Lepisosteus oculatus: one gene and its partner. The protein of the gene in region 1 purifies or fractionates together with the protein of each later gene. This does not show direct contact. Links are inferred from orthologs where the notes say so. Each region holds a gene or a part of one and is shown on either strand. Other genes may lie near its edges. The genes, in order: nkx2.1 and foxa1.

Region 1 (16,573 bases):
CACTGTAGGTTATATACCGGAGGAAAGCAACGAATAAGGAGTAGGACTTCAGATGCAGCTAATCGCCACATTTTAATCGTCGTATACAGGCTGTGAAGGTTCATTACTTCAACGGACACATGTTTTTAATTCAAGATCAAGGTATGTATGTATCTGGATATATGAGGCTTTAGGTAAACACGGAAAGCGGTGCAACTCCAGAGCCCGCAGAAACATAATGGTGGAAATGGAAACGGGAGTCTACTTGTGTGCCCTCAATCCCAATGGAAGGCTGCCATGGAGTCACTGAAAAAGGACCGGAGTCTCTGACGTGACCAAGTCCAGTTCACTGGAGCCACTTTCCGATGTGGGACTTTCGTAATTGACATTATTTGCTAGGTAATCATACCGAAGAAAACGCCAACCGATCGCACGATACCACGGTGACACAAAAGATAAATTAATAAAAAAGTAATTAGTGCCCCATCTCTTTTATCGTCGTTTATGTCTCGCCATTGACAGAATAAAAAAAAAGAAATCGTACTAACATCAAAAGCCATGACGTGCCCTTGTCACCATTACTTGGTATTTAATATACATGAATGTTATACAGTATATATAAACACGGCGTATCGCACTCGTAAATACATAGCAAGCCTTTAGTTATAATTTATTGGACATTTTAAACCAAAAGCGAGCAATTAATGTGGAGATAAAATATTAATTTATTTTACCACTATTGTACAATGCAGCGCATAGTAACGACATTATCCATGAACAGTCATCTTAAATGATTCATCTTCTTTAGGTTTCTTTAGTGTATTTTGAACTTTAATATCAAAGGACATATGTGACTGGAAGTAACACCGACAGGCTCCATGGGATTAAATAATTGCCTACATTCTGTTGGACATTCTGGCAAAATTTCGACAGCGGACTAAGGACCACATATAATTCAGCGTCCTCGTTTGTATCTCAAGTAACTATTTCAAACATCTTGATTTTCAATTCTATAGGAAATAATTTACAAGACGACGCGTCCGTTTTATTGACTATTTCTGTACTAATGATAACGTCATGACAGTCCTATCCTGCTCTCTCCTAAAACTAAACATCTATTGAAATGTTCTTAAAATGTTCATTGGTCTGGCCTGTAATAGGAACAATGATAATTTGGTACGCAAATTGCATCTATATGTATAAACACATACACTTTTGATAAATCCGAAAAGGGCTGCGAATAATGTGAGGCAATTGAAATTGATACAGAAAGAAAACACTTAGGTCAATAACAACGGAAATGAACCTTAATCTTCATGAACACTTTTGATTCTTGTCTAACATTACCTAATCGGGTATTTCGATAGATTTACTTTGCTCCGACTTTACAGGATGACATATGATATACGTGGCAGTATTTTAAAATATGTTTTTGTAAAACGAATGGCTAAATATTACGTTTAAGGAAATACATTGTGTTTCAAATATTGCGTGACAATATTGCCTCATTGTTCTCCAGGTCTAGTGCTGGAACAGAATTTTCATATGCGAACCGTAGATGATGCTCCCTGTTTCTAAACAGATGATTATTTATTCAAATACAGCCTAAACGTGGATGCACGTTTCACAATTATAATGGTGTATGTTAATAAAATAACGTATGATAAAGATTTTCTAAACAGTGTTATGTACTTGTATGTAAAATCATAATTATTTTCTTACAGTTAATCCTAAAAGGACCTTCGGTTGATACATTAAAAACCGTGTTTTGACTTATGGTTAACTTCTGTGATCAATAGTGCACACTGGTATCGGTTTGAACCTTTCATAAGGTTTCCTTTCTTAAACACGTATTTGCCTTCTTCTGGAATGTGCAAAAAAATAAAACCTCAATAAAATCACAATCTAAAAACCATGAGCTACTGTATTTCCTTTAGGTAGATATCGATAAATTTCTACTAAACATGCAGTTTCTAGCTGATAAATCAGGCGCTCAACATAAACGACAGAATTTATGGAATTCGTTTCTCGTCTTACATAGAGTTGAGCAGTTAATTCCGCGGACTTGTGAGAACTGAGCTGCCGCACTAGTAACTACGTAGTTGTGTCAAGCAAATATCAGCGTGAAACCCAAATCATAACATTAATAATCTCTTTCACACTTAATTTTAAATGTGCGATTTAGTTTCTCAAGTAGCTCGAACCATTCTCGCATCAATTAAGCTTCGCAGAATTACGCCACACAGTAAGTAAATGATACTTTAACACCATTAGAGAGCTCAAGACCCTAGACACTTTCTAAATAATGCATCGCTGCTGCCTCCGTTTAAACGATTTTCAAGGGCGATTCATCCAGTTAATAATTCCGATTAGCTGAGCTTTTTTCTCTACATCAAGACAACAAATACGAACTGCTCATATTAAATTAGGAATTGTTAGTACACTTTAACGAAGAGGTCGCCTGTACTTTTAAATTTAAGAAATACTTTTTGATTATGATTTAAACCATGAAGATTATTTACAAATAAAAAAATCAGTTTGTATTATTGTTAATTTCCAGTGTTTACATCTTTCTTGGCAGTGGAAGAGTGAAAACGTCATAATTAAAACACAAATAAATTACGTACACAAAATCCATGCTGTACAATTTTACTAATGAATTAAATACATAAATAATTCACACCTATCAATTATAGCTCTTTGAATGCGCGTATACTGTTTAAAAATAGTTACAAGCACATTTAAATATTGTTCCACTGCAAACCTGTAATTAAAATGCATTTTTATTACATTTTTTTTCTGAAAGCAATACTCTCAGTCTCTAAGCGTCAGGGATAGACAACATAGCAACAGTTCAACCTCACGATCAAAATATCACTGACGGCTTCTTCAGAAATTCGTTTCAGGCAGCCCATTAAATTTCAGATTCTGTAAGTCGTTAGAGGGTTTTTCCTTCTCATTATCCTTGTTTTGTGGTTTATACGTATGTGCTAAGTTATTGCTGGTTGCTTTTAATCAATTCTTTACGCGCACACAAAACTGACGTCCCAGAATCGTTGAGCCGATTTAAAGATTATACTTATGCGTCTGTGGATTAGAGACCGAATTCATGTGCAATTATTTTTGCAATATTCTCAACCTGCGTGTTGAGATTTAGACTTCTTTCAGTTTCTTAATATATTGAGTGTTTTACCCTTCCACATTTCCGCCAACAAGAGACAACCGATAGCGCACAAAAAATAGTTTATGAGGTTGTTTAAGGGCTATACGGTTGTTTGGACAGGGATTTGATTGATATGTAAATGCCTTTTGAATAGTGTTTATTTGATCTCTCCTGCACCAAAGAGCGGTGAACTCACCTTTACTGATTCGCAGGTACGCACACTTAAAGAGACGCCGCCACCACGAAAAAGTCGAGAGAGGAGTTTACCTAACCTAATCTAAAAACTACAAAGATAAGACACTGTGTACACAATAACCCATTAATATTATTATAGAGGTGGTTTGTACTCGCAAAGAAAAACGGTCAACCTGTTGGAATGTTTCGCGGGTAAAACACGGCGTTCCGAGTAGTTCTGAAAAATAATTAATGATTGTTTTAATTACTGTAATGAGTGAATGATTCACTTTACTGCAGATGTGAAAACACGAAATAAAAGTAAAACCTGGGACTTGATCTCTAACGTCGCCACCAGTTTGCATCGAGAAACAATTCAGATCAAGAATACATAATCCAGATGGAGAAAAAAAACTAAACGTCGGATATATATATTGTAACGCTTACGGCCGACAGGTACTGTGTAAGAGCCGGCGTACCAGAGCAGGTGACCTGAGCCCCCGTTGCGTTACAATATATAAATAATACGTAGGAATAGCCGAAGAGTTCGTTACACGAGCTGGCACCGGCGGACCGAATTTCTTTCATGCTAACGATAACCTTTCACAGAATCGAACAAAAGAGCAACTAAACGCTGCATTCGCAAGAGAGACATTGCCATTGTCATTTACTCGAATCCCCATCATAACATCAACATTTTAATAATATCTGAATTCGTGACGAGCCCTACAGCCTGATCCATGATCACTACTGTTTGTGGACTTTGAACAGCCCTAGACGGCAAGCTATAATAGTAAACCTACGTCTAGCTCTGTTTAAATAACATGAGTATACACTTTTTTTCTTTTTGCTCGTGTACTACAGGGGGACTATTGCACTATTTATTAAATTCATTCCACGGCCGCATTGGGCCCTTTCAAATATTTAGTTTTCCCACACGCGCACACACCTTTGGCAAATGCGTTTTTAAGTCCTATCAGACCAAAGGCCAGTAATTTTCTTCCAGAAGTCCACCGATAACCCACAACTACGCAAAATTTTTTAGCTTCCAATGGTAAAGGCAGCAATTTTTGTATTTCAGCTTGCCAGTTATTATTCGATTTTTGTCACCTGTGCTGTCAAAATAAATTATTATGTTTGTCCAGAATTTTTATTTGAATGAACAGCCAATAAATTGCATTTAATAATAGTGTATTGATGCGGTATCTTTTTCCTGGTGCTCTAACGAGCATTAATGACATCCACTTTACGCTCAAGTTCAATAAAGGAATATGAATTTTATTTTCATAATTTATTAATAGGTTTGTATGACTATATTTATGCCAAATATCTATATAAGTTACAAGAAAATAAAACGTACGCGGTCAAATAACAGTTAAACTCAAATATAATACAAGCAACCTTCCAATGGCGATAAAAACTTTATACAACATAATATACAGTTTACTAAAAACTATGTATCCAATCCAAACCTTTTACAGAAATATACAGCTACGTTTTACATTAAAATCTATTAGAAATCGGAGCCACGTTATATTACCCCTATAAAAGTCTTTGATAGCCCACACAAAGGACGCGTCTGATTTAGGAATGGACTCGCTCGTTATTTCCCCAACACAAAATTGTATTTAAATGACATCTTCCTCGGCCACGTTGGCTCTAATAGTTAAAACTGGTATAAAAGAATATGGGATTGCTTTTCCCTATTCAACGCGATGTGAATACTTCCCACCTCCACGGGACTTTCTAGTTTGCTGATTGACTCGTTACCCCCTTTTTTAACCCAGTTAGTCGTCTGCAAATCCAACTGAAAGTAAATAGGATTTACTTTTTTTTAAAAGACTTTGGAACTGCAGCAATGGCTGTCCGAGTTTACACAACAGTCTGCGGCGGGGTTATGTCACCAGGTCCTGCCGTACAACAGAGCGGAGCAAGGCATAGCGGTGCCATATTCAGAACTAGCAGAGTTTAGGTGAGACAAACCGGACACCTGGCTCTGAAGAGACGAGGGGCTGGCGGAATGTTGAACTAAATCTGGAGAATGGCCGGCGCTGCCTGCTTGTTGGCTCTGATGCTGTCCCATCGCCGTGGTGCTAGTGGAAACCGTCATAACGTTACTCCCTTGCTGATGATGACTCTGGATGGCAGTGGTCGGTGTATTTGTGCCTCCCTGGCAGGGCTTGCCGTCCTTGACTAACACTGGCACAGCTACTCTTCTGGGAGACTGCTGCTGCTGCTGGCACGAGCTGGAGTCTTGTTGCATCTGTTGTTGGCTCACCTTATCTTTGGCTTGTCGTTTCATCTTGTACCGGTGATTCTGGAACCAGATTTTGACCTGAGTCGGCGTGAGGTGGATCATGCTGGCCAAGTGTTCTCTTTCTGGGGCCGAGAGGTATTTCTGTTGCTTGAACCGTCTCTCTAGCTCGTAAACCTGGGCTTGAGAAAACAGCACCCTCCGCTTTCTCCTCGGAGTGCTCTGCAGTGGGCCCATGCTCTTGCCGACGTCTGCCAAAGAACCCAGGCTGCCCATGCCACTCATATTCATTCCGGAAGATGACCCCATGAAGCGAGAAACTGGAGAGAAGAGAAAGGCGTTAGCAAATAAGAAAACAGAAAAAAAAACGCCATGCCTTTCTCCCAAGACGCCTCACAGTTTAGAAACGTTTCTGAGAATAAAAGTTCGCAACCACTACGGTAACGTTGGTTTCCATAGTAAAAAACAAACTAGACCACACAAATAAATTGTTTCAGTCACCCCTTCTGCGTCTGCACTGTTCATATTCTGTGTTTGAAAAATTAGAAAAAAACGTTATGCTCTCTCCTTTTCTGTAGTTTACAGAAAGTCCATTTTGCATAATAATAATAAAAAAAACATTCACATACAAAGTCGTCGGTTATGATAAGTAACAACGAGGTTTGTCAGTAGGGTTTATTGCGGCTGCTTTTTCGCTGTGGGCAATACAAAATCTTGTACGTAAGGAATACTTGGAAAATCGGATATAATACAATTATCATAATACAAATTTGAAAAAACGAATCATTGAAATCAATGATTTGACACGGTGTGTTAAATATAAGCGTCCTACATATTACTGGCTGACAATTAAACTAAAATGGAAAAACAGTCATGTATAAGTTATTTTATGTGATTCAACGCTGCAATAGGCCTTAGTATACAGGGAAAAAACTCCCAGCAAAAATCTGAGGGATGAAAGCAAGAAAGACGACGGAAAGAACACACAATAACAAAGAACACCGAAGTACATCAGTGACAACTCTGTTAATTTAAGTACCTCGGTGCAATTTCCATTTTTCGAAAAGACTCACAAACTATAAAATACTGAAATTCCTAAGAGTAACACTGATTCAGTCGTTATATGACTGATAACAAATCGTTCAGTGCGTATTCCTGAGATTCATTTTGAAAACCAAATCTGACTATGTAAATGGCGCAAAATGGTCACATTCAAACCTCCCTGAGAGAAACCCGCAATTCCATCTATTTTATTTAGGTCATTTTGTTCGGTTTTGACATTCCACAGATACAACGAGTTTATCACTTTGATGTTATCATGAGTTGAAATAGTTTTCTTTATACTATTAGCGGTTCCTTCCCGAAGTTTGACCGGGTGTGCGCTGGGTGCTCTCCATCATCTGCCCATATTAATTAGTCAGACTCGAGTTCCACTTACTTGTAGAAAAGCGCGGATCCGGATTGGCTCCGTACCACCCGGTGGCCGAGGTGCTGTTTCTCATGGTCTCCTGGTAAGGCGGAAGCTCGCTCATGTTGCCCAAGTTGCCGTTGCAGTAGCCCCCCATGGCAGTGTGAGAAAGCTGGGGCACCCCCGCGGCAGCCATGTGGTAGGTAGCGGGCACAGTCCCGTTGTGCCCCATGTGGTGTTGCTGCATAGCCGCCTGAGAGACCTGCGGTTGCCGGTAAGCTGTCAGGGGAGCCCCTAAATTGTTGCCCTCCATACTTACTTTCTTGTAGCTCTCCTCAAGGGGACTCAAGATATCGGAAACAGAGAAAGGAGTCGTATGCTTGGGACTCATCGACATTGTTCTGTGGCTGGAGGGGGAAAAATTAGAAGGCAAGGCAATCTTTTTTTTTGACAAAGCCCTGTTACTGCTGTCTCAGCGTCGATCTTGTTGGATGAACACGTAAGAGAGTGGCTGAAGTCCGCCTTAATTGGATTGAGTGGAGGCTCGGGGCTTTCTTTCGTTTGTTTTAGCTAGGCGCCAGGTTTAAGGCTGCCACCAGAGGCGGGGCGTAAGCAGCCAGGGCAACAATACAAAGAAGCCCTATCCACATCGCTCCCCGGCATAATTAGCTTACGTGCTGATCACAAGGTAAACACCTTTAAGTTTTCCCCTTGTCAGAAATGTGGTTGTGTTTTCTGCTATGTTAAATGATACGGGCTGCCTAAATGCTCCGTTGCCGATCCTTTGTAAACTTTAGTTTGTGGTAAGTGAAAGTTTGTGCAAATGGCGTTCTTTTAAAACGCAGCTCCTGCATTCAGCACAGATCCGAACACGTGTGGATTGCATTGTCAAGAATATCCAAAACCTGCAGTGTGTTAGGCGAGGAAGACATCGATAGAGAGAAGGTTTCCTGTCTCACCAATTTCTCGGTTTAAGAATAAAATTCACTTTAATGTATCTGTATACAGCACTATTATTTCCGTTATCTCCAGTACCCAGATTCATAGCCCAAGACTTTTGGTTAGGTATGTTCGTATCAATCTATCAAACTTATCTGTTCTATCAATCTGCATACAAGTACACAAACACTATATATACATAAATAAAAATGAGTAATGACTTAAGAGTTTAGGGAAACCACTTAATACTGGAAACAATTTCAAAAGCTTCGGTTGAACCCCTGACTTTTAATGGATCTGAGAGCCATCCAGTGATTGCACTTGTAAACCGTGTTTGCATTATGCTTGATCGTACTTAGAAATGCAAAAGTGCACTTGCGACTGTGGAGGAAAAAAAAACCCTAAATATCTCCTGGTAAAGTGGTTGCGTAAATGATTGACCGTATTGTGACTATGTTTGATATTAGGACATAAGGATCACTTTGCTTCAATTCAGAAGTCCTCATTCACCGGCCAAGAAACCCGCTCAGGAGAACGAAGGTTTCGGTATGAGAGTTAACATCAGCGAAGTAAAACCCTCCGGCGGTGATAGCACTTCAGTGCTCCGGGAGAGGTGAGCCCACGAGCACACGAAGCTCGAGGAAGCAGGGAAAAATAAAGACAGCCCCGCGGGTTTCTTTAAATCTTTCGGGTCTTGTCTGTGCATTGAAAATGGGCAGCAACATTTGTTTCTGTTGGAATCTGAGATGTTTCGAAACCTGTTAATTTTGACGTTAAATCATAGGATACAAAATGATTTATGGAAAGAGAGCAACGATCCAGTACATGATCAATTTCAGTTACGCATCCAGTATAAAGAAAATCAGAATTACCGTCAAAAATTGGAGGTTGTTTCAACGATGTTTTGATATAATTAACCACAACGTAGCCAAATGGTATTAAACTTCACCTGATGTGCGACTTGCGGAATCGTTTTATACAGGTTTACTTTAACGCAGTCGTTGTTTAAGAGAGCTTATTATTTTGTTGAAAAGCGCAAAATCGAGTTATACTGCATTTTGTTTTCGCCCGGTTCTACTAATTTATTGATAAGTTAATTGGTTGTCAGGTTCTCAGTTCAGGGAGGGGTAATTTTTCTTCGATGGAGCAATCCCTGAAGCTTATGGAACACGACTTTTACTAGTTCAATCAAGGAACCCCAGAGAGGATATACAGTACATCAGTCACCTGCTCGAGGAAGCTGAAAATGGAAATTTAAAGCGAGATATACAAGTTCCAACACTTCTGTGTAACTTTTCTCCTGTTGCAGGTGTTAAAATCAATACTAATTAAATTAGATACCCCACTGAGAATGAACGCATATATTGTGTATGGGTGTTTATAAAATGCTGGATTATTTAGAATTGCTAGCAAAGAACACAGAGAACAACAATACAGAGGAAACGCGATACCTAAACTCATAAACCTATTAAGATAAGTATAGCAGTTTTGGGTTGAAATCAGCGAACACTAACCATTTTTATTTTTCTAGGACTGGAACGATTTCTTGAGGCGTGGAAGATCTACGTTTAGGGAAAAATTACATTACAGTGTTGATTTAACTCAATAGATTATTGTTCCTGTTGCTGTGCCGTTTTCAACACTTTTTGGGTGTATATAGGAAGGGGAATACATTGGTACATAAAAGGGAGTTTAAAATGCTTTAACCTAAGCTCTAAACTCACATAGTCAACATGGTGTGTAAATATAGATCTTGGCAAACATTATATAGCATTTATATGTAATCATTTCAAAGCACTGACAGCTGGAACTGCATTGTGTGCGAGCAAATTCAGCAAATTCAGACTCTGCCATTAAAGAAAAAGATTCGTGATAACTTCTGGAGGACCTTTAAAGAAAATACTCTATAAACAGAAAAATAACTTTGGTATGGAAAATACTGCACCATTTTAATTCCGAATAATTTATTGAATGTTATACTATAAATATATGGAAACTTTATATAACATTTGATACGATGCATGTTATATTTCAGGGTTACATGAATGACAGTTTAATTATCCCGTTTTCGTTATCTGAACAGTTAGTTTTGTCAAATTACACTGAACATTTTCTTCCAGGAAAGATTATTATCAATACCTTTGTGCTGAATTCTTTTCTCACAAAGGAGGGGGCTGGGTTGGAGTTAAGGAGGACCGATGACACCACTACTGATGACTAGACTGAAATTCCCCAGTGTAACTAGTCATCTTTAAGGTCAACTGATACCCTCGGTCGTCTATGTTAAATGTTATTCGTGCTAGATTACTAAGCATCTCAAAATACAGACAGAAGGGGCTTCAATGGTTTTCGGGTGATTTAATAATACCAATGCTTCGGCTACGCACGAGATACAGAAGAATTATTACAATAATATGAAATCCTGTAAAGTTTTGCAGTAATATAAAATGTGAAACCCATAGCGACAGAGTTTCGCGTATTTTTCTAGTAAAATAAATATCCACAGAAAATAACCAAGAGCAGCACTCGTGTCGAACTACCAGTGATTCCGCTACGACTACTACCACATTCATCAAAAAGTATAATACATCCAGGGCTGCTTAAAAGGAAATAAAGGTATCTGCTTTATTAATGCTCGACATTTTGCATGCGCTACATTTAGTTGCTATAAACCTAATGCTGGTCAACACTGAAATACGGTTTGTGATTTTTGCTAACGAAACAATTTTCATGGCTAGGAAAGTATTGTTAAGAAATGTAACTTTTCACAAAATAAGCAAAAAAAGCATAACTAATTTAACATAATATAGCCGGTACGTTATTAGCCCTTTTTCACTTTGAAGAGAAATGGTGCAGATGAGAAGGAGAGTCTTTATTGTATGCCTGAAAACGCAAAGGGCCTAAGCATCCGAAATTCCCGAAACATCTGCACATAAATTTGCATTGCGCTTGTCAGTCGCCAAATTCTAACTATACCAATGAATCTTATTTCTTGCGTGTGCAAACACTCATCACACAATTAAGAGTAATTAAAATATTGTCTTAATGGCTTACATTCATTAAATGCTATCATGCAATTCCTTGTTACCTTCGGGTTTTTTTTTTCATTAAGGCCTAAGACGGCCACATACTGTAAGCAGTAAAGGTGAAAAATTACTTAACACGTCATTCATTAGTCGAATCATACTGTTATACTCTAGAGCATCTTACTTTTCATTATAATCTTTATAAATTTTGCAATAGTATCGGTAAGAGCAAAATGTTTTATGAATACCGGTCAATATTTCGTTATTTTGTATTAGAAGACACTGGTATAACTATTAAAAGAATATTTAAATTGTAGTTGTTTTTCGCATTAACAACAGAGCGTATTAGGCAACAACGTCAAAGCATTTAAAATTAAATTAATTTTTAATGTAGCTTGTGCATAGTTCTATTTTTGGTGTAATCGATAGATGATAAAACCTCTACATAAGCTCGCAATAAGTAACGATTATGGAACAAGCTTATGCTTAACGGTATATCGGGTACTTAATACAAATGCCATAATGACACAGGTCCAGTCTTTCCTATACGATATTTAGAGTATATCATGATTTAAAAAAAAAGTAATTGGCTTTTCGATATTTAAGCAAACCAAGACAGATATTTAATTGTGCTCCATATATGAAACAAAAACGACAGGTAAATACATATTGTACACATTTATCTCTGGATAATGAACAAGAGGTGGACACGTGCTTTCATTAGTACTGGACTACTGTTTAGAATTTTGTAGTTTCAGATACTTCCAACAAGCCAGAGAATATCATTCTGAAACTCCACGAGCAATATATATATACCAAACAGCAATTTATTTTATTTAAAATAAGTGGTTAAGCAATTAACCTGGGAAATTGAAGATAATATAAATCAATCTTCAATGTAAAAAAATAGTATTTTAAGAACAATGTTTCCCGCCTTACTTTTGAGGTACAGTTTCAGTACTGTTTGTATTAAAAACCGGTATATCTCATATACGAGACCAGCCAAGGAATGAAAAGATAGGCGCCATGTAAAATAAAGATTATTACGAGCCTGTCTTTAGAATCTTGCTACGTCGCACGATTCGCAAAATTCTTTATTTAAAACTCCTTCTACTGAAAGAGGTCGTTTTTATTCAGAGTTAAGAATAAGTATGTATTCTACCATTGCAAAAGCTTAGCTAGTGGTTATTTCTGAGAAATCGCAAGAGCCCTGCACTGACTGAACGTGGATGATACATTCGATGGAGTTTAAAACACCGAACTCCAAAAATGGTTTAACTGAAACTATTCCAAACCTTGTGCTTTGGAGAACGTAGCCTTGATGTCGTTAAATTTGGCAGTAACTGGAGTATCTTAAGAATGCTCTTTACTGCTCACTCTCCCATGCAAACACACAGTGTGTAGATACTATTGCATGAGACTAATGCAATAAAAGTGATTCTAAGACTCCACTTCTTTGGAGGAGAGAGATTGCTTGATGTCTCTGTACGTAAGTTGTCCGTTCAGCCTCAGCCGCCCACAGCGCAGTTAGTACTCTTGCTAGAAGACGATGAGGTCATTCTGCTTCAACCAGCTCGCGAGATGGATGGAGGGAGGAATTTTTTCATTGTACTTTATTGTTTAAAGCGTTCGTTTCTTGAACTAAAAAGACAAATGGTCCCGTGCCAGAGGGAAGATGATATTACGTGCGATTATGAAAAATATGCTTATGAACTTTGAAAAAGCACTATTATTGTTGCTGTATAAATTGTTGCCAAACAAAGGCTTGGACTATAACACAGAACGTGTCATTCTTACACAGTAACAAAAACATTACTCACGTTTATATAAACGTGTATAAACATTTAAATTATGATGTTTTTGCATACTTTGAAAGAGAAATCTCTAATGTCGTTCTCCTCCAATGTGTAGAAGACGTTTAAGCATAGCTACAGAATCATAATCATGCTGCTAAGGTCTTTTCAAAGACATAACTAAGACAGCAAACAAGAAACAAAATTCTCCGTAAGGTAACGGAATTGTCATTTATAACGTGACATGTGGTTGAAGAATCTATCGCACCAAATGATCATGTTTAAAAACATAAATAAAAAAAGGCAAGTTTTCATTTGGAGGGATGGTTTATTTCAGGTCGATGGTGTATAAAACAATCATCGTTCGAGCAGGTTTTTGTCAATGAAATTGTGGGATTTACAGATATTATTATAGAAAGACACTTAAGATAACGGGGATCATTGCTTTAACAAAACTATGAAAATGTGTATTTTACTACGGCAGACTGGAATGTTTCAATCGTTAAAAAGAGCTTTACAGAAAAAAAAGTTTTGTAAGTATGGATGATTTTGAGATCCGGGTAAATGGACGCCTAAAAGGATTTTTAAACTACAGGACAAGGAGATTAAGAAGGTTCAGAGAACGGCTACTTTGATTTTTTGGACATTTAAAAGACATATAACGACCTCTGCTGGGGACATAGTGTAGTTTTAATATGCTCTGCGCTGTTTGTTTTGCAGAGATGAAGATTTTGCCTTTCTGTCAGTGTATTGATAGAATATTGCAATTAGTTGGTTCTCTTTAATTCACAAAGTCAACTCAAGTCTGTGCCATTGTACTGTCTTCCATACAATTTCTAACCGCTTCATCCAATTCAGGGTCGCGGAGCATCAGGGCGTATCTCGGCAAGCAAGGGAGGCAGGTTACAACCTAGACGGGACGACCACAGACACACACAGACTCCCGCCAGGGACAATTCCCCCCGAAAACAGTACGTCGTTAAATTGTGTGTAAGAAAACCGACCTACCAGGAGGAAGTGGGCGGAGCTGTGGCTCTGTGGCTAAGGATTTGCACCTGTGGCCGGAAGGTTGCCGGTTCAAATACCGCATCTGCCAGAGGAATCCTACTCCGTTGAGCAGTCTTAACCCCAACTGCTCTCTCATGGAGAGCAAACTGGGGTATACAAAAAGGCGAATTCCTAATGCGAGAAATTGTATAGGGCTAATAAAGCGATGTTATGATGAAACGCATACGGGCAAGTGGAAAACACACAAACTCCACGTCCCAGTGTTGTAGACAGCAATACTAACCACCATGCTGTCCAATATACTATCATCCTAGGCACAAATTCACATTTAGTCCTCCTACCCTTTTGTCTCGTCCTTTAGTAATAACACGAATTCTATACATAATCAGAAATATAATTCCATATTAATTAATAAACAGTCTTCCTTATATCCTCCAGGGATATAATATCCAGGGATCTGAAAGCACATATCTGGGAGTGGGTCCCAACTTTGGTCCAGGTGTGGGTTTTGTTCAACAGTTAAGTTATTCATCACAGCCTAATCGATTTCAGTTTTCTATTTGGCTCCGATGTATAAAATTGCTTTCAGCTGTTAAAAGAAACGGTCAAATGTGATTTGCAATTGCCATCAGCCCTCTACCAATTTCTGAGTTTCAGAGCTGCCCTCGTCCAGGTGTGCGGCCTGAAATATAACCATCTGGAACTGCGGGAGGAAACCGTCTCACTGTAGGTAGACGTCTCTGGTACAATCTCATTCCCGCCTGTGCCTGTCCATCACCTATTGATAATCTAGTAAGAGCTGTTTACAGCTATAACACAAATAGAAAACTGAACTAAATTAGCCTGTGATTAACAACTCCGCTGGAGCAAAAACGTGCTGAATCAGTGCTCGGGGTTGGAAATCTCTGGCCTACATGTCGAAGAAGCATTTGTGCCGTTTATTCGCGTTTTCTTAATGTTAACTACTGAGGTTTTAAAAGAAAAGAGTAACTATAGTTATAATTTACTGTAACTACATTTTACTAATTGTATGTACCTACCGTTTCGACTATACCATTATAATATTGAATTAATACATTTGATCTACTACGGAGCAAGCAACGTTTAATTTACCACTGAAAAGTATAGGAATACCAACATTTGACCATTGAGCTTTTCTTTACGCTGCAGACAAACGACAGAAAATGTATGCCTTTCTTAATACTTATCATCGTGGAATTAAACTCTACTTAATCAGTTAAATCAGTAGTTATTGTCTTAGGAGACGGTAAGAAGATTTAATATTGCAACGCGCTGATTTGAGCAAATTCACATCAGTCACACGTAGACTACAACTGAGTAACACTCTCAAATAACCGAGATATACAGCTTCTTCCCTTAGAATCAACATATTGAAGAAAATAATATAAATGTACAGACCAGCCCTCATGTAGTACGTACACTAACCCAGAGGGAAGGGTATATGCCAAATTAATTTCTCAGTGTTCGTTTGCTATAGGTGTGTACCATAGAGCAATAATTAAACCTAATTACAGCATGCAAGGTAAAGGTAATTAGAACTGTGACATGTTTTCGCGGGGATATATTACTCCACTAATTACCGAGTTTCAAAAGCATCGCCTAATTAGATAAATCAGGACCTTTTTCTGTACTGGTACACGGTTATTACGGTCAATTACCTTTAATTATCGGCGATGTTTTCCGTTAATTCTTCAAAATGAAGCATTTTAAAGAGAGACTTTAGGATTATCTAACTCCTAAGGTCATCAACCTTGGTTGTAACTTTCCGACCTAAGTGCCTGCTTTTTCTTTTCTCAGAAAGAAACATTACTATTCAATTTTCTACCGTAGTCGTTTGCAAAAATTTGATTCAGAACAACAGTATTTTTTACAATGTTAAACCAGCCTACATGAACGGACGGCACTGTTCCGGACTGACGTACTAGACGCCGATATTTATGTCGGGCATTGCAGCACAGATTTTACTTCGTAATTCGCGTATTATGTCATTTCGTATTATTTCGAGAACGCAAATAATTATCGTCACCAGAGCCAACTGACATGGTGCGCCTGCTCTTTAAACCATACGATGGCGTTCCTAACCGGTATTCTGTTTTGGAAAAAAATATCCGGCAACGGGTAACTGAACTAAATTAGGAATTATATAGGACAAATAGACGGGTTCCATGAGTACGTTTTTATGCGAATTCTGTGCTGTGTTTAGAGTAATGGAAAACGGAGTGTGCAGTCCAGACCATGTTTCTGGGTCATTACTAGTCTTTCAAAAAAACCTTCATTAGACTGTGCTTGCAGCTCGACTCATAGCATGTCATGTCAGCTGAATACGTTGAAGAACGCCCTTGTTCTATCTTTTTTTAACGTTTGATATTAAAACCATAAACATACCGATTTACAGATTCTTTATTAACAGATAATTACTGGTAGAGGGAATTATACTATTATGGTCACTAGGAGTGTTGATAAAAAAACCTGAAGTACTAAAAAGAGGAAGATGATCATGGTACCGAAGATACTGTACTTCTGAATGATATACCCTACCTACACAATTTCGCATTAAACTGCTGTGTGATATTGCCATCTAGTGGTGTAAATGAAAAATTATTCAGAATTGAAAATGATCTTCAGTCTACTAATTGTATTGCAACATAAAACTGCAAATTGATTTACGTCAATAACACAATTACTTGGGTATAGCTGTTACTTTTACTGATCGAGTATACCGATATAGTATATCGATTGATTATATTGCACCATAATCTCCAAAGTTTTCTGAGAAAGAATGGAGTTTTAAGTTCACACTTTAAACTG
Region 2 (16,896 bases), about 18 Mb from region 1:
GTGCAGCGTTCAGGTTCCATTATTTATCTTAAACGAATAATCGTTTCTACTTACTTAATCGTGTTAGGTGACGCAATTTTTAATCACTCGCGTTGCGTGTTAAACATTAATATTGAAGGGGAATCACGTTTTCTCCTTTAATTTAATGGCTTTTATATGGGTAAATAAGTTTTAAATGGTACACAAACATTTTATGAAAATCTTATACTGTCCATATATGTGCAACTGTCAGAGAGAATATTAGATTTTTCGTGAAAATGTAGGTAACTTTAAACAATATATGCCTTTCAACAAATCAACAAAATCGTTCATTTAACACACGTTTATTTAAATTTGTTTTTCGGGTTAGATTGTCTGAACGTTTGAGGGACAGAAATAATTATAACTTTCTAAACAAAGGGCTCCCACTTTTCTGGGTAATGGTAGTAATCATAAAACTCACACGTACCTCGAATTCGTGCCTTTCCCCTCCCCTTAAAAGTTAAATAATTAAAAAAATAAATCTGAATAAGGACAGAGTTTCACTTCTTGCGGTTTACTATGCGGCGAGATATTATTCAGGGCGAAGTGAAAAAAAAAACATGCGCATTACGTCTGTTTAAACAGCAGTCCTGCATTTGGGAACTTGATTTGTCCAAAGTTCAGAGAATTCTGATACAAACACCTCTTCTGTTTACGCCTCACAAGGAAAATCGAGAGAGACCGATTAATCTTTTATTATTGTACTAATACATTTGGACGTCAAAATATATTCACTGTATATGTCATTGTGTCCAGGTTTGTTTCTTCTTGAATTTGTGTATTTTCTATGTAACTGTGAAACTTCATACAGGAGATTTATTTAAGTTTGTCTCTATTCACTTCCGACGAAGAATGGGTGAAAATTGCTGCCTATAAATGCTTAAATGGTAGGCTTAGACTGATTATTAAATTAGGAACTGGGGTTCTCCTTACATTTTGGTACAGATACATACACCTGCTGAAATAATAGTATTCACGGCAACCTATTGCACTTGCTGTTTAGGAGGTTCAGTTAATAGAATTGTTTGTAAATTTGTCCTTTTTAACTTTGCCGTTTGCTGGTCAACAAACTCGTCAAACAGCAAGTCTTATTTACCTCTTCTGAGCGATTACTAATCGATCTCGATGAATATTGTGAAATCAACAAAAAAAAACTTCATTGATTTCTGAAAAGTAAACTCTTTTTTTTCTGAAACACCAAGGAGCCTTTCTGCATCTTTAAACTTAGGAGTATTGTAAATATTAACATTGCCTGTACGAAACTTGGGAGGGTGACGCTTGTCTGTGTGTAGGCACAGAAAAAGTCGGTTATTAGCAATTTCTAGCAGCCAAAAATCGTATTCAAGATGAAATGTGTGTATATTTTTAGCTGTTGTATAAAATAGTTAAGCAAATAAGGCAAATGTTTATGGTGTAAACACTTCCTGTGATATTCAATGTAATGAAAGACCAATACATATCTAATCGAATTTATTCTTTAGAATATTTATTTGACGTTTTCATGTATTTAACGAACAGCTGATTTTTCACAGAACCATTGATAAAAAAATTAAACATAGGCGTGCTTTTAATTAGACACAAAAATAGGTTTACCCGTGACATTTAAACAAAACAGATAAAAAATATCTGACGCGATCTCGACAGTTAGCTGCTTTAATTGATGAACGACTGTTATTCTACACAGACCCGGGGCAATCAGTTGTATTCTTAATACTGCAATAAATTATGAAATAAGTATATTTCACACTTCCGCTTTGTGAAATAATATAAATGTAATTCAGTGGATATAAACTACCCGCATGCGGTAATGAATTAAGATATTAAATTTAGAAGCAATTACAAATAAACCATCGCCGAGTCTGGATATAAGGTCTTCATCCTGTATTTTCCTAAACAGCGATGAGAGCGAGTCAGGGCAGCTGCTGAGAAACCCTTTGGCATCAGGGTCTCAGTAAATTTCGCGCATTTTCTGTCCGCAGAGTAAACTCCGGCTTCTCTCAAGCAACTGCTGTTGCAAACTTTTGTGAAAGTCCTTAACGGTGGACATGGAGAAAATGTGGTTTTTAAAGACATGCTGTACATAGCCTAAAAAGTTCACATCCCAAAACGCGGACACCTAAATATCCCAGGGCGAAAACCATCTGTAGTTGATGGTCGTTTTCCCTTTATAACAGTTAATTCAATTTAAATATGTTAAAAACGCTGGACGTTGGGAATCTCACGTAAGGTGCTACTTTCAGAGTTGCGATGCGTATTGAGGTTATTTAATGCCGAAAGTGTCACTTCACCTGTCGGACATTTTTTTTTAATTTTCCGATCGTGAATATCAAGCAAAGTGATACGTAAACGACTGCGCTATTCATGAAGTGCTTTGCTATCAAAAATCAACCATAACAATGTCTTGACGGCTTATTCATGAATATTTCCTATAATTTTTGTTTTAAATGCATATATTATCCTCTTTATTCTAAAATAAAAACTGCGTCATTGAAGCGGTATGTACATCACGCTATTTTATGTGAGTTTTTTATTTGTGGTACAAGAGTCAGACAACGAGGTGTTAAATTTAGAAAACGTCTTAAAATCTGTAACAAAAAATGAAATAAATAGTTGCGCCACGTAACTGACATGTGTTGCTAGAAGGTATGCTTGTCATAATAAGTTTTCAAACGTGAGTAACAAACATTCAAACTTTAAAGACATGCTCTGGTAACACAGGTTTTCTAAAAAAAAACGTATTTACCAGAAAAATAAATATTTCATTAAACGTGGGAAAACAAGATTTTGTCTTTACCCGATGATGTGTATTTTTTAATCAAAACTCAACGAACGGTTGACTTCTAATTTTAAAAATAATTCAACCCATGTCCCTTTTAATAACACAATTTATTGATAAAATTGAAACGTTTATCACAAAAGTACGAAACTAGAAAGACAATAAACGATACGCTTTTACACAAACTCTGTGTTTTTAACGGTGTTCAGTCCCTTCTCCAGATTAGACAGCTTTCCTAACTCAATTCACTCCATTTTATTTGCCCATCGGGGGGCAATTACAAGATAATTAAACGAATTTCATGGTTCCTCAGCCAAAGTGTGTGTCCACAAAATACCATGATCAAAGTAAAATCTGTTCAGGTTCAAAGTCCCTTCATGTAAGGTTACAAATAACAAAATGATGGTTTGGCTTAATATGATATTGTTGATTCCCCCGTTTCAAAAGGCCATGCGCAATTTCAGCTCTCCCTGCAGCTGTATAAGCAGTCGGCATTTTCTTGTTTTGTGTTTGTTTTAAATAAATCTTACAGTGGCGAAAATTTTTATTTTTGTTTGGATCGGTTAAGTTTTGTTTAAACGACAATTCTTGAAAACATAAAAAAAGGAATAGTCCGCTTTTTATCACAGCGGCGCCGCTGACGGCCGTGAAAACGATTAAAATTACACTGGCGGCGATTCACGTGGCTTTCAAGAAAGGTGTCAATTAAATCATGATAAATACAGGAAATAAGAAGGACTCGCACACGACCTGTTACTGTTCAGTTATCTTTGCGGTAATGTCCATTAACATGTGAAAAGGGGATCTTTCGCTCTTTTCAAAAGCCTATTTCATGAATCTTTTATCACTTTACCTCCCCAAGTTTATCACCACCAAAAGGATAATTTTGCTGCCGGGATATATAATAAAAATACATCTAGTTTTATTAACACTACTGAGATAATATTGTTTCGTGTAATATGCAATTATTTGTAACGCAGGTCGGGATAAAATAATAATAATTGCAGAAGTGGCGCGTTAAGAGTAAAATTTAAGGAGAACACCTACATGCCTTAAATATATATATAAGATCTTTATTTACATCATACAAGACACTGTGAAATAATTATAATGGTTATATAGATTTTATTTTTTAAAAGGAACATGCAATAAATTAAAACACATTTTGGCATCTACCAAAGTAAATATTTGTAACAAAATACAATATTGTTTTTTTTACGAGAATATGCATGATCCCACAAAAAGAAAGGTCAATTGTAAAATATCACAACAAAGACGGGGGGGTTGCTTAATATAGAAATGTGGGTTTTATTTCAGTTTGTGCATTTGACCACGGTGGATGAAATGCAGTTTCTTAACACAAAATTGTACTTTTTCGAAACGCATATGTGCCAAAGAAACAAAATTATACAACCAACGCATAAAAAATGACAACACAGATGACCTGAAAGGCTGAAACACAAAGATTGTGTGCTTTTTTGTTATTGTTGTTTTTTTTTTTCATTCAGCTTTTCCAAGAGACCTCACTGACCTTCATTTGGACATATTGCAACAAGGCTGTAAACAAACTTTGGTGCCGTCTACAGCTGGGGGGGGGGGGATGATACAAGCTCAAAAAAGTTTTAAATACACCTTTGCAGGGCGTCTGCAATGATTCTGACTTGGGTTATACAATCATTCAAAGGGCAGACCTTTACAGTATACTTTTTACACATACACATTTTTTGTACAATAAAGTAACAGTCCAAATGCACGAGGCGTGTGCAATAACAAAAGTGTGTTTTTCTTTCTCTCTCCAGTACGGAATAAAGCAGCTGAGACTAAGAGGTGTTAAGGACAGGTCTCGAATACACACCTTGATAGTAAGAGGCTTCTATTGCTGAAGGGTCCAAGCTGGCTCGTCCGCCCATTGAAGTACTGCCCAGCGGCAGAGTGGCTGAGATGCCAGACCCGTAGGAAGAGTATTGCAGAGCCTGCTCGTACGCTTTTAAGTCCAGTTTGTGCTGCTGCTCCGAAGAGGACATGAGGTTGTTGATGGAGAAGGGGTGGTTGAAGGAATAGTGGGGATCGCCCTTGAGGTGGAGCTGGGGCTCGTGGGCCATCGAGTGAGGGGGAAGGGGGACGGAGGCCAGCGCGCCGGCCGAGCTGACAGCGGGGTGGCCCTGGGCCCCGCCGGGCTTCAGCTCGCCGGCGGCCGTGCCGCTGCCGTGGTCCATACTGTGAGGGCTGGGCGGCTGGTTTGAGCTGGAGATGGAGCCCGACTCCATCGGGCCGGGTTTGGCGTTACTGCTCTCGCTCGAAGGCGAGCCGGAGCCCCCGGGCTGCTCCTTCCTGCCGTCCTGAGGCCCCTTCCCCCCGCCAAGCCGCTTCTCGCACTTGAACCGTTTCTGCCTGCGAAGGTAGCAGCCGTTTTCAAACATATTTCCAGAATCCGGGTGCAGGGCCCAGTAGGACCCTTTGCCCGGTTTGTCCGGCGACCTGGCCACTTTGACGAAACAGTCGTTGAAAGAAAGGGAATGCCGTATGGAGTTTTGCCACCTTTGCTGGTTCTGCCGGTAATACGGGAACAGGTCCATTATCCACTGGTAAATTTCGCTCAGCGTGAGCATCTTGCTCGGCGCCTGCTGAATAGCCATGGTTATAAGAGATATGTAGGAGTACGGCGGCTTGGCGTGCGGGTAGCTTCTCCTGAACGTTTTGGTTTCCCGTGCCCTGTTCAGGTTGGGCTGAGCGTAGGCCATGGGGCTCATGGCTGGGCTCATGCTGGAGTAGGGGGTGAGCGCGTTCATGGAGGCTTGCGGCGCCGGCATCGCGTTCATGTTCGACGGGCTGAGAGCAGCGCCCATGGCCGATACCCCGCTGGTCATTCCGTTCATGGCGCCGGGGCCACTCGGGGGCATGCCCGCCATGGTGCCGGGGCTCAGCCCGGCTCCGAGTCCGGTGTTGGCGTAGGACATGTTGAACGAGCCCGAAGTCATGTTCCCGCTGGTGGACATGCCCATGTAGGTGTTCATAGAGTTCATGGATCCGAGACCCGCGTTCATGCTGCTGTTCGGCACTGATGAGTAGACCTGTACAGCAAAGGAAAAACAAATATTTTTACATATAAAGCCCCACATTCAAAACCGCAGGAACCATTAAAAAAAAATAACCAAATCGTCTTTAAACTCGTATTTTTTAGGTTAAGGAAAACAGCTGTAGGCTAGTGCGGTTAACTCGTTTGTTTCACGTTAATGTTATATTGCGTTTAAGAATTAAAGATATTACTCAGTTCTTAAGTTGTTTGTGTAACCTGCACTTATTCTAAATTATCTGTTCAGACATGGCGTGTTGAACAGAAAACATTGATAACTACATGAAAAGAAATACATTACAATCTAGGGTAAAGAGGCGAGGACCAAGAACAGAAGTGTACAGAACTGAATGAATACATTTGAAATTGTTTTGCATATCATGTATAAATGTGGGGATACATAATAAGCACAAAAACGTCTCTGTCGTAATTTGTTCATTACTGAATAAGTCTTCCAAAAATATTACCTGTCTCCTCATGAAAAATGGCCTAAGGTTTCACGGTAAATTATTCAAAAACTACGGTGATTTATTTACATTTACTGAGCATTGCATTGAGAGATATTGCAAATGCTAGGACATTTTAATATAAGAATATCTGAATAATACTGGATGTGGATTTGCATAAACGCTAGTTAGATGCTAAATTATATTTGTTGATGGTCTGTTTCTTCCATTATGTTGTTGAAACCGTTACATATTTAGTGAAGATAAAATCTCTGCTTTATTTGGCCTGTTTCATTTTTAGATCCCTGTGAATTTCAACTGTGTGAAATCGTGTGTGTGCATATATATGTGTCACTGCTTCCTCTGCTGATAAAATAAGGTTAATTATCTTCCTATTGCGCACTAAGTATAGCCACGGTGCTGCGAGCCTGTTTTTATTATTTGTTGACGTTCCTCGATAACTTGTCTGTTAACAAATTAGAAATGCTTGTCTTCAGGGCCATAGAAAGTCACTCAGAGATCCGTGATGTTCAGGATCTGACCTCACTGCTGCCACCAAGCGTTTCCACAGAATTGGAACTCAGGCACGCTGGATTTGAAGTAAAAGCACACATATACAGTGTGAAAACTGAAGTTTTAAAATGATTCATTTAGCTCAGACACCCACAACTTTACCCGGAACCCCAGAGTCTAATTGTTTTTACTTGGTGTAACTGGAGAAAACAAACTAGTTTAAAAAGAAAGATCAGTAAAAAAAAATCATTTTAGTGAGGAACATTTCAGTTCTGTCTCTTTTTGACATTACTGATGCTCGGTTTTCTTTCTAAGCCTCATTAAATTTTGTTTCTATTTCCAAATAGAAAAAAAAATACTTACCTCTTGGGCTTCAGCGTAATAGCTGCTCCAGTCTGGAGTCTCGTGTCCTTCCATTTTTACTGTACCCAACATTATGGAGGAAAGCAGCAAAATGACACCATTCAAACTTCAAACCAAAAGTTAGAAGGATTCCGTTCAAGCGGTTCGTTCTCAATAGCCGCTCTGTGCAGCAGGATGGTGGAGGAGTGGGTAAGCGCTGAATCTGGTGTGAGTTAGGAGTTTGGCTCTCGGCTGTTACGTAGGAGCGGAACAGCCCACCTCGTTTTTCATTTGTCCAGATCCCATGTCTTTATCTTCGCAAAGGAACACCTACAGCTCCGCCAGCACACCTGCAGCGGTGTGTGGCTCGCTGCTGCTCCGACGGGGGTGTCGGCCCTCGTATTGCATTGAAAAACAAGACTTGAGTTTGTAAACTAGATCAACTACTTTGGACGGGCAGCGAAACAATACGAAAGGAGCCGGGAGCCGGATTGTTTATCACGATCAAATGAGAGAATAGACCTCATACTCCAATCAAGGGAGGATTAAATACTTTTCAGTAGAAGCTAATTTACATTGAATGGACAATACTATTTCTTCACAATTACAAGACGGCAAAGATATATATCATTTAGAAAGTATTTTTTAGCAAAACAAATGGACTCGAGTCTGTTATGAGGGAGTGTATAACTGGCGAATATGCAAGCACTCGTAATACAATGTTTAGTAGGCTTAACACACACACACAGTGGGATAGAGGTTTTCATTTTTAATCAAGGAAATTCTTTATTCGACCATGTTTTTTGGGGTTTTCGGAATTGGAAATGGGACCTTTTAAATACCCAGTGCCCGAAAAGGCTTGGTCTTGTGTTTGCTTCTTTTGTTTTACACTTAAAAGCATGTATACAGAAGGGCAAAACCGCAAAAAGCCACGTGAACGTCAATGAAATGGAAGTACCGCATTGACAAAAAGATCAAATTCCACGTTTAATATCCAAAGAACAATTCATGCTTTTTAATTATTACAGTTATCTGAAATGTACACTGCGAGGCATTATACAGTTCTCAGTGCTGCCTATTGCAAATATTAATTTAAAGCAGTTAATTTATTAGGTTTCTCTATTTTTATAGTTGTCATTTTGCATGGTAGAATACCCTTCTTTTTCGATACTACGCATTTTTTAAACTAAAAAATAAAACGATGTATTTTAAATATCACTAGACGTCTTTAAAGTTAATATAGTGTTAACTGTAAAACAAGCATTAAACAATATTATAACCAAAGCGTTTTAAAGACTTAACAGCGCCTCCTAAAGCAAAACAATCTATCTAAAACGCACCAGAAAAGTGTTTTTTTTTCTTACTATTTATAGTCTCGATATTAAAATCTAATGCCTTATAAACTGAATGGACAACTATCGCTCCGCACAACATATTAATCATCGACTTTTAAAATATGAGTTAATACGTTAATCGAGGAACAATAAATTATTTCTGCAATTTGGGTTTGCAGGTGTGTAGCATCATTTCTGACTAGGACACAGCAGGGCCGAGAGGCCTTCCGCGGACAGAAAGAGAATTTGGGAATGTCTAAATACTCACATAATGAAGCGATTTCAAAACGTCTAGCTTCTTACATCCTATAAAGTCTAAACATAGAGTTTTCTTACGGCCGCTTATTAAATACGAGTTTTAGGCAGCGTTTTATTTGTATTTCAAATGTTTTTTTTGTTTTCATTCATGCTGAAAACTGTAGTTCTTTCGATCTCAGTAAGCCTGCTGTACCGGAGGCGGCCATCGTGTGCTTGGAACAGGCGTCGTGTTAGCAACCTCTCTTAGTCCAAATCTCCTGCTTTGCGCACACTGTTTAACATAGGACACGGGGTTCTCTTTCTACTGTAAATCAATTTATGTGTGAGTAACAAGGGTGATTATCACCCGGGATAGGATTAGCTCCCAATGATCTCACTGTATGAGTGTGGAGAATCGATTTCAGCAAAACAAATAAAATATTTACAAGCCAGGCTGCAGATGTTAATTTTGCAATAGGCCTGGTAGAAACAGAATAACATATACTAAGTAAAATCGGGCTGATAGGTTATCCATGTCTATTATTTATCTGAATGATCGCAGACTTACGGTTGTGAATGTTTTATTTTATCTAGTTTCTTCTGCATCTGAAAAGTATGTGAAACCAAGTAATTTAAGGTATCGAGTTCGTTCCGTAGACTTGCGACTACGTGGGTTCTGGCGCTTGACTTAACAAACGCATCAAGAGCCGCAGAATTAAGTTAATATGCGTAAAAAAAAACTTCACGCAGCATATAAATCAAGGGATTTAACAATAGTTTTGTGCGACAATCCACAATACGCTTTTAATTAATTCTAATATTAAAGACAAGCTTTTGTTAAACAAATTAGGCTAATACTTATACATATTTAGATTTCCTAGTGTAAACATTGGAGGGCCCTGGTACAGAATAAAAATAAAACTGCCAGGCCTCTTTAAAACACTGGTGTTAAATCTAATTAAGCTAACAAGCAACCTTTATCTGGTTATTTTAATGGCAATCGTTTAAATAATATTCTAAGTGTTATCAGAGTAGGACAATACTGTTTTATCGTGGGCATGCCCAATGTTTGAAAGCGCAGTGTGCACTGAAAATCTTAATAAGACGCTTAAAAGTTCTTCGTGTTACAGAAGAAATATTTTGACCGCAATGCGACCAGAACAGAGCACGTAAGGTGAGGTTTGTTTCTGAGCGCTTTGAGGACCGGTTCACTGACTTAGACAAGCTATTCACGGAGACATCCTAACACAGGCTCAGGGCTTTGCTACATATGAATCCCAGGCGGCAACTTCGTACTGAAACTTCACAAAACCAAGCTCCACTTAGCAAACTGTTTATTCCCCGCCCAAAGTCAACCCATTCGTTTAACTTACCGATACGTTTATTTCAACTGAACTGGCTGGGACAGCGCAACAGGCGGTAGTGCTTATTGATGTTATTTCTTGGTTGCGGTTGTGTTTAGTGTTGTTTTTTTTTTTGTTTAGTACTGTATAACGTACGGCTTACCATCATAATTGATTAGGCGAACATAACATAACAGCCTCAATAACGGCAAGTCATGATATTATCACATTCCCGCTTTCACGAATTTTGTCGTCAAGATTAAACATCGAATTTTTATTCTTTATTATGGTTAAAATAACGACTAACTAAACGCAGTACTTAGGTCAATCACACGAGTCATTTGTTAGCGTATGTGTGAATATACTCTTGTCTAAAAATGCATCAATACATCTGTAATCCCATATAAAAATGTTTGAAAACATTTGATTGTTGCTGTAAGGTCACGCATTTTGAATTTACTTGTTTAGAACATCCATTCATCCCAATTCTCCTCCTCCTCGTTTTCTGTCTGGAATGATAACAATGATGTGAATAGGTCTATGCTCTTATTACATGTAGTTCACTGTAGTCAGGATGTCCTCTTGACCTCTTCAGTGCGTTGTAAATGTTGCATTTTATTAATCATTCTGCAACTTCGAAGGGAACGTGGAAGAAACGAAGCAAACGGTTTAATAATAATAAAAAAACGGAGTTTCTGTTCAGTAACAACCAGTAACCACACTGGTTCAGTAGGAGGCACGGAGTGGGTTGCGTCTCAGATAGTGTGGGCTTCGTGTGAAATCGCCTTCCGTGGCTTCTTAAACGCGACCGTGTATTGGATAAAGCGGTGAGAAAATGGGTGAATGTTTCGTTAAAAAACTCACATATATTACCAATAATGTCGATAGAGAGAAATAAAGGTGTCAGGACAATATAACACGTTTTCTCGATTCCAATCGAAACGGTTTTTTTTTGCGATAATTTTTGGAAAGTCCTTTAATTGGCAGTGTACGTGCCAGTACATATTGTTGCTTGATTTTATTCTTTCAAACTTGGATTGTTAAAACACATTAACTTAAAAAATAAAACTGATAATTATTCGTTGCTAACAAATTGGATTTCTATTAAATAGAGTAATAAATGACCTCTGTATATTAGAGCTGTGAAATCTTAATAGATCTGGTGTTTTAATGCCAATTTAACTAATCACGCTGAAGTCTGAATACATTTTTGAATATTTAGAAAGACACAGAGAAATGTTCGGTTTAAGTATAGCCCAAGAACTTCAGTAAAAAAAAAAGAAAGAAATTTGCGGTTAATTTGTCATTTAGTACAGGGGTTACCCGTGACATGGCCTTTCACGCTGTGGTGTGACAGGAAATGTGGACCTTTATGATGAATGCCCAGATAATTAGCATAATTTAAAAATGAGTGACTCAATAAATAAAACACGAGATTAGGGTAGGGTTTTCAGAGCCCTCCTGCGTGCCCAGGGCGTGGCGCGATTTTGAAGATCATCGACTGTCCGGTATTGCAGAAATCAAGCCGATACACAAAATGGAAGCAGTAGGCCTTTTCTAACTTTTTATTAAAAAAACATTTATCTCTGGCATAAATTATATATTTGAATTATTTTTTTCAGAACAAGACAAGTCCCAAACACTCATCCACCTGATGAGCTTTTTCAGCACCACGGACAGGTCTTCCAAATAAATAAAACGCCAGTCCATTATTCTGTTATTATTTTTTTTACAAATGTCCAGACGAAAGGTTTATGTTTTCGCATTTAAATTAATTAAGATATAAATTCGATTACAGGAACCTGAAGCAAATAGGTTAAGAAAAACTGGAAACTGTCACGATCTCTCTGGCGGTATTTATATCGGAGCTTTGTCCCCTATTAAAAAGGCCTACATTTTAAACCGGTCTTTTTCACCGCCCACGATTAGCATATCCCAAGGTTATATATCTTGGTATTTATCTGTTTTCTTATTTTGTTACATTATTACATCATCTACAGAGAGAGGAGAAAAACAAAACAGTCGGATGAATTTCAAACGTAGTATTCCGTGAAACGCACAGCAAATTCCTGTAAGATGTATTTAGAGTTTCCGACGCAGTAGTGGGAAATATTTTGTAATATACACCGAACCCTCGTTTTTTAAAAGAGCTGAAGGCGTATTTTAATGGGATCTAGAAAACAGTGTCTTTTCCTCGTATCTTCATTTTTTTTGGCCATAGTCCGAGCTCCTACTGTGTTCTCAGACAGTCCGGACTAATCAAACCTTTCCACGTGGGCCAGCGCCAGTTGTCTGGTTGCTAGGAGACTTGCTGCACTTTCTGTTTACTGCGCGCAGACATCCAGGCCTCCTGGACAGAAAAAGGCATAAAATGTAGTTATACATGCCGATACAGACGTACGCGGAGAGACATAACTTTAGGGGACGCAAGCAGCTAACGATTTCGAATTACTGCCCGAAAGTACTGCGCTTTTCAATGTCCAGGTAAGGTACTTTACAGGATTGTAAATATTCTTGAAGGAAACTGAGAAATTTGCTTTGATGCAAGCACTGGAGCGAAAAAAAAAAAAACCGAAGAAGGAATAGGAGCCACGCAAGCTCTGAACCTGCGACAGTACCTGCTAATGCCGGAAAAACATTTTACAGTAATAGAACAGTATAAGAGGTAGCTTAATCATAAACCAGCACAAGCTTTATTTGGATCCGGAGCCAGAGTTTGCGTTGTTAAGACTGGCGCAAAATAGGGACTAAAAATAAGATTAGATATGTTTGCTTAATCCCCGTTTTGCGCCGGTGCTTGCCGGCTCTCCCGCGACACTGAATAGGATGAAAATGGATGGATGTTTACTTAACTTTACTTAAGATGTAAACTTTTGCCAAAGCACGACCTGCTTTGATTTTCTTGCCCTAAATTAATCTATGAATATGCGTGTGGAGATTATTTCAGTGCTGCTCGGCATGTTCTGAATCTGCAAACTAGAGGAAACAAAGATTAATTGAAGAGGATGCACCCACAGTAGCCACAATATTGGGCAATGCAATGGACAGATGTGGGGGAGATCTCTGCTTCTCTAACTCCAGAAACGCTTCTTTGATACAATTCCAAGCTAAATATTTCTTATGCATTAAGAAAGGAAAAGTCTTGGTTGCTGTTTTTTGTCAGTAAATTGTTAACTTGCTGAGACAAATGTTTTCAAGAATAGTTATAGGGAAAAAGTATTTATAGACATATATATCTGTACAAACATTTTACAGGATTAATTAGTAGATAAGTACCAGAAAAAGTACCCAACTGGAAATACAGTACAGTACAAACTCAGCTAGACTGTGAAAGGCATTAAACAAGTGCAGAAAACACATGTATGTAGTCAAATTAAACAAGTACTATGTTTTAATAAAGTGCTTGAAAACAGTTGCATTAGACAGCTGTAGACTGTAACTCATAAAGGAACAAATAAAATGAAATCCAAATGCTTTCACATGGCTATTAATAATACTACTTCTTCAGCTGCTGCTACTAAATCTCTATATTTCTGTGTCTTCAGGGGTATAAGGCTAGAAAAAAACAATTTAAGTATGGCAGGAAATCAGAGGAAGCTGCTAAGCCATAGTGAAGAACTGAAGCTGAGAAAGGAGCTTGAGAGCTTACACAAGCAGTCTCAGCAGGATTTTCTTCATTTCAAGCAGATGATCAGCAATTCTTATCGAAATATGAGTTTCCCGACTGTACTGCTGGATTCCTCACCAGATCAATCCCATACGACAAACACTGAAACTCTCAGGGGACTTCACAGTCATCAAAGTACCCTTGAAAATAAAAGCACAATTATTTCTGGTAAGTTGTTTGGCCCAGACAATATTCAGGTAGGCATTTTGAAATCCCCAATTGCCTCACCTCCAAAAGAACTGAAGAAGGAAAGTGTCCAGAACCATATGGCTGGAAGTAAGGAGGCAAATCATCATGTACCTGTTATGAGTTTGCAAAGCTGCCAGAAAGAGTCTAAATATACTAGAAATAAAAGCCAAAACAGTGCAGCCCTGAAGCCCGCTATTGCTCAACAAGTGGGAACTACAAAAATTGTTTTACTGTCAAAACGACCTGAGCCACCTCAGAAACCCAAATCAGTACAACCAGTGACTCGAGGGACTCGGACCAGAGTACGTGCTCCGGTGACACCTGCTGCAGGAGAGTTGGGATCAGCTACAATGAAAAACCAGCTACATAGGAACAAGCGAAGAGGGACGAGTGTAACAGTTCCACAAGTCTTGAGCTCTGACAGTAGCGATGAGAGTGAAAATAATGACGATTCTCACTCCGAAGACTCTGACGAAAGTGTGCGCTCAGAAAGTCACCGGAAACACAGAGGAAAGGCTGGAAAGAAGAGGAGGAAAGTGGGGACGGAGAGCCATCCCTCTGCACGGCATCAGCAGCCAACATCTGTTGACAATGGAAACTCTGCGAGCCGGCAAAGCACCGTGGGATCCAGCCACGCTCATAGTGTGAGGTCTGCTTCAGAGCTGCTGGAGGAGGCTATAGACATAGCTAGAACAGATGCCTCAGTGAATGAGAAATACTTCCAGCAGAGACAGCCAGAAGGGTCCACGTTAACAGCAAAGACACTGGTTAGGGACAGTGCAAGAACTGTGGATGAAATATTTGCATCTCTGCAGTCCGGGAACAACACAGACTCCCTCTCGGCATCGGACCAGATGATCAAAGAGCTCATGGAGAGAGTGCTTGGCCACAGCTATGGTAGTGAATGTGAGGTAAGTCAATTGGAACAAGACAGGCGCTCAGGTCAACATCTTTTAGAATATGATATTACCGCGTGTTGTAATAGAGAAGATAGGAATAGGATACTGTTTCTTTTCAGTGCTTTTTGCTTCTTAATCTGCTGAGGATGACTTTTACATTGTGAGTTGTATGCTTAAATGTTTAGACTGTTGGGATGTTTTAAAAGCGTATTGTCTCTGTTTTGAGAATGGAAATGGTTTGTTTTGGAAATCTAAATCAAAAAGTTAAGCTGTTTCACCAAAACAGAAGACAGTATAAACCAATAATACGCTTTTCTATATTTCCTTTGAAATTTACAGTGCATACACCAAACATTCAAAAAATGTACGTCCTGCAAGGGGATTGCTAATTTCTTTCTTATGGTCTCGCACTTTGAAGGCAAATAATGTCTATACCATTTTCTTTTTGAAAATCCACAGGAAAGTGTTTCAAAAGACGATTCAACAAATGAATCAAAGCTGATAAAAAGTGAAGGACCTGAAAGGAGTGAAGCAGAAGATTTAAAGGAAGATGTCGATGGCAGGCCAGTGCAGGTAATTTAAACATTAAGTGTGTGCTGCATATTCTATAGTGAATAATTCTTCAAGTTTTCATGTTACTGCACAGCACCTAAATAAAGACAAAAGTATTTAATAAATATTTTTTTAAATAGATAATGTGTTATTATTTATAAAGTGATTAAAAAAACAACAGTTGAAGGGTGGTTGTTTTTTTCACGAAGGTCACTTTAGTGGTATCACTATTTCATTCAGACTGTAATGCCTATCATTATACTCCACTAATACAGGACTCTAAAATCACCAGCTGCTCCATTACTCCCCAGAGTTCTTCCTAAATGGCAACTCAAAAGTTTAACATAAAAGTGAGAACATATTCGACAGGCATTATTTTCACAGGGGATAGCTTTCTTAATTAGTTACCATGCTGTGGTGATTCTTATGTTGTCTTGTTAAGCCTAACAGCGTCCTGTTCATTATTTGGTTCGAGATCAAGTGATCTTTCTGTTCCTGCAATGCTAAAATGGAATATTAAGTAAATATTATTATATTTAGACTTGTAATTATTATTTCCAACCTTATATACTGTAGAAGATAGTTATTTAATTCAATTCTGGTGGTTACAAAGCACAAAAAATGTTAAAATTACAGAGTATTAGCACAACACTTGAACTGACAGATCGTGACTGGCTGCTGAAGAAAATACAATTGCAAATACATCAAGTGCTATGATTTCTAATAGTTACACATATGTGGATTTTTTTGTCATTGGAACATTCTCCTTTCTCATTTTGTGACAAAGAGTAAAGTTCAACAGATAAAAACAAATCAGAAAATGTTTCTATCACTATCATTTGAGTTTCTATCATTAAGTTTTAACTTAATAGTTTGATTTTGATGTACAAAATTGACGGTAGGTAATGAAGATACACAAGAATGTTCCTCTAACTCATAATGTTCCAAAACAGAAAACCTCTTGACTCACAGTAATTTATTAATGTTTAATGTTTATTTTGCCAGACTCCAGATGCGTTAAAAGATGACATTTTACATCAAAATATCCCCATGAAAATTATTCAGAAAAAAGATCCAGCTGGAGTGTCACCAGTTACACATATTTCATCTGATGTTTCCTTGGCATTCAAAGAAGGCTCTTCCCAGATTATGTCTCCAGAAGATTTTTCATTCGGCCAAGAGGATATTAATATTAGCGGAATAGAGCTTCCTAAACAGGTACAGTTATGTCATGTTATGTCATTTGCCAGACCATTTTATACCATAGGTACAGTTATATGATAATTAAATATTTCAGTGTACTACCTAATGCACTGGTTAACATTTCAATAAGTATGCTTTGCTTTTCCTTTATGGGAAAAATACATATAATTTTTATATATATAATTTGGAGATATTATTAAAGATTTCTGTTGTTTTGAGTTTGTAAAATCCTATTTGTTGTTGTTGAAGGTGACATATTCGGATATACTTCATGTGAAGGGACAGCGACTGTCAGCCACAG

Evidence for each region.
Region 2: the proteins of nkx2.1 (region 1) and foxa1 purify together in Homo sapiens (affinity purification with western blotting; 3 studies listed by BioGRID and IntAct, with this or other methods). This does not show direct contact. The link is inferred for Lepisosteus oculatus from reciprocal best matches to the Homo sapiens genes NKX2-1 and FOXA1.

Annotation. Positions count from the first base shown.
Region 1 is NC_090703.1:22,232,317-22,248,889, reverse strand, and holds nkx2.1 (homeobox protein Nkx-2.1), read right to left. Parts: upstream 7,599-16,573; 5' UTR 7,376-7,598; coding exon 7,009-7,375; intron 5,891-7,008; coding exon 5,217-5,890; 3' UTR 4,638-5,216; downstream 1-4,637. UniProt on the Homo sapiens protein: Transcription factor that binds and activates the promoter of thyroid specific genes such as thyroglobulin, thyroperoxidase, and thyrotropin receptor. Crucial in the maintenance of the thyroid differentiation phenotype.
Region 2 is NC_090703.1:4,615,193-4,632,088, forward strand, and holds foxa1 (hepatocyte nuclear factor 3-alpha), read right to left. Parts: upstream 7,383-16,896; 5' UTR 7,265-7,382; coding exon 7,193-7,264; intron 5,869-7,192; coding exon 4,618-5,868; 3' UTR 3,903-4,617; downstream 1-3,902. Other genes in the region: uncharacterized protein ttc6, read left to right, coding at 12,469-12,569, 13,631-14,852, 15,300-15,413, 16,398-16,610, 16,845-16,896. UniProt on the Homo sapiens protein: Transcription factor that is involved in embryonic development, establishment of tissue-specific gene expression and regulation of gene expression in differentiated tissues.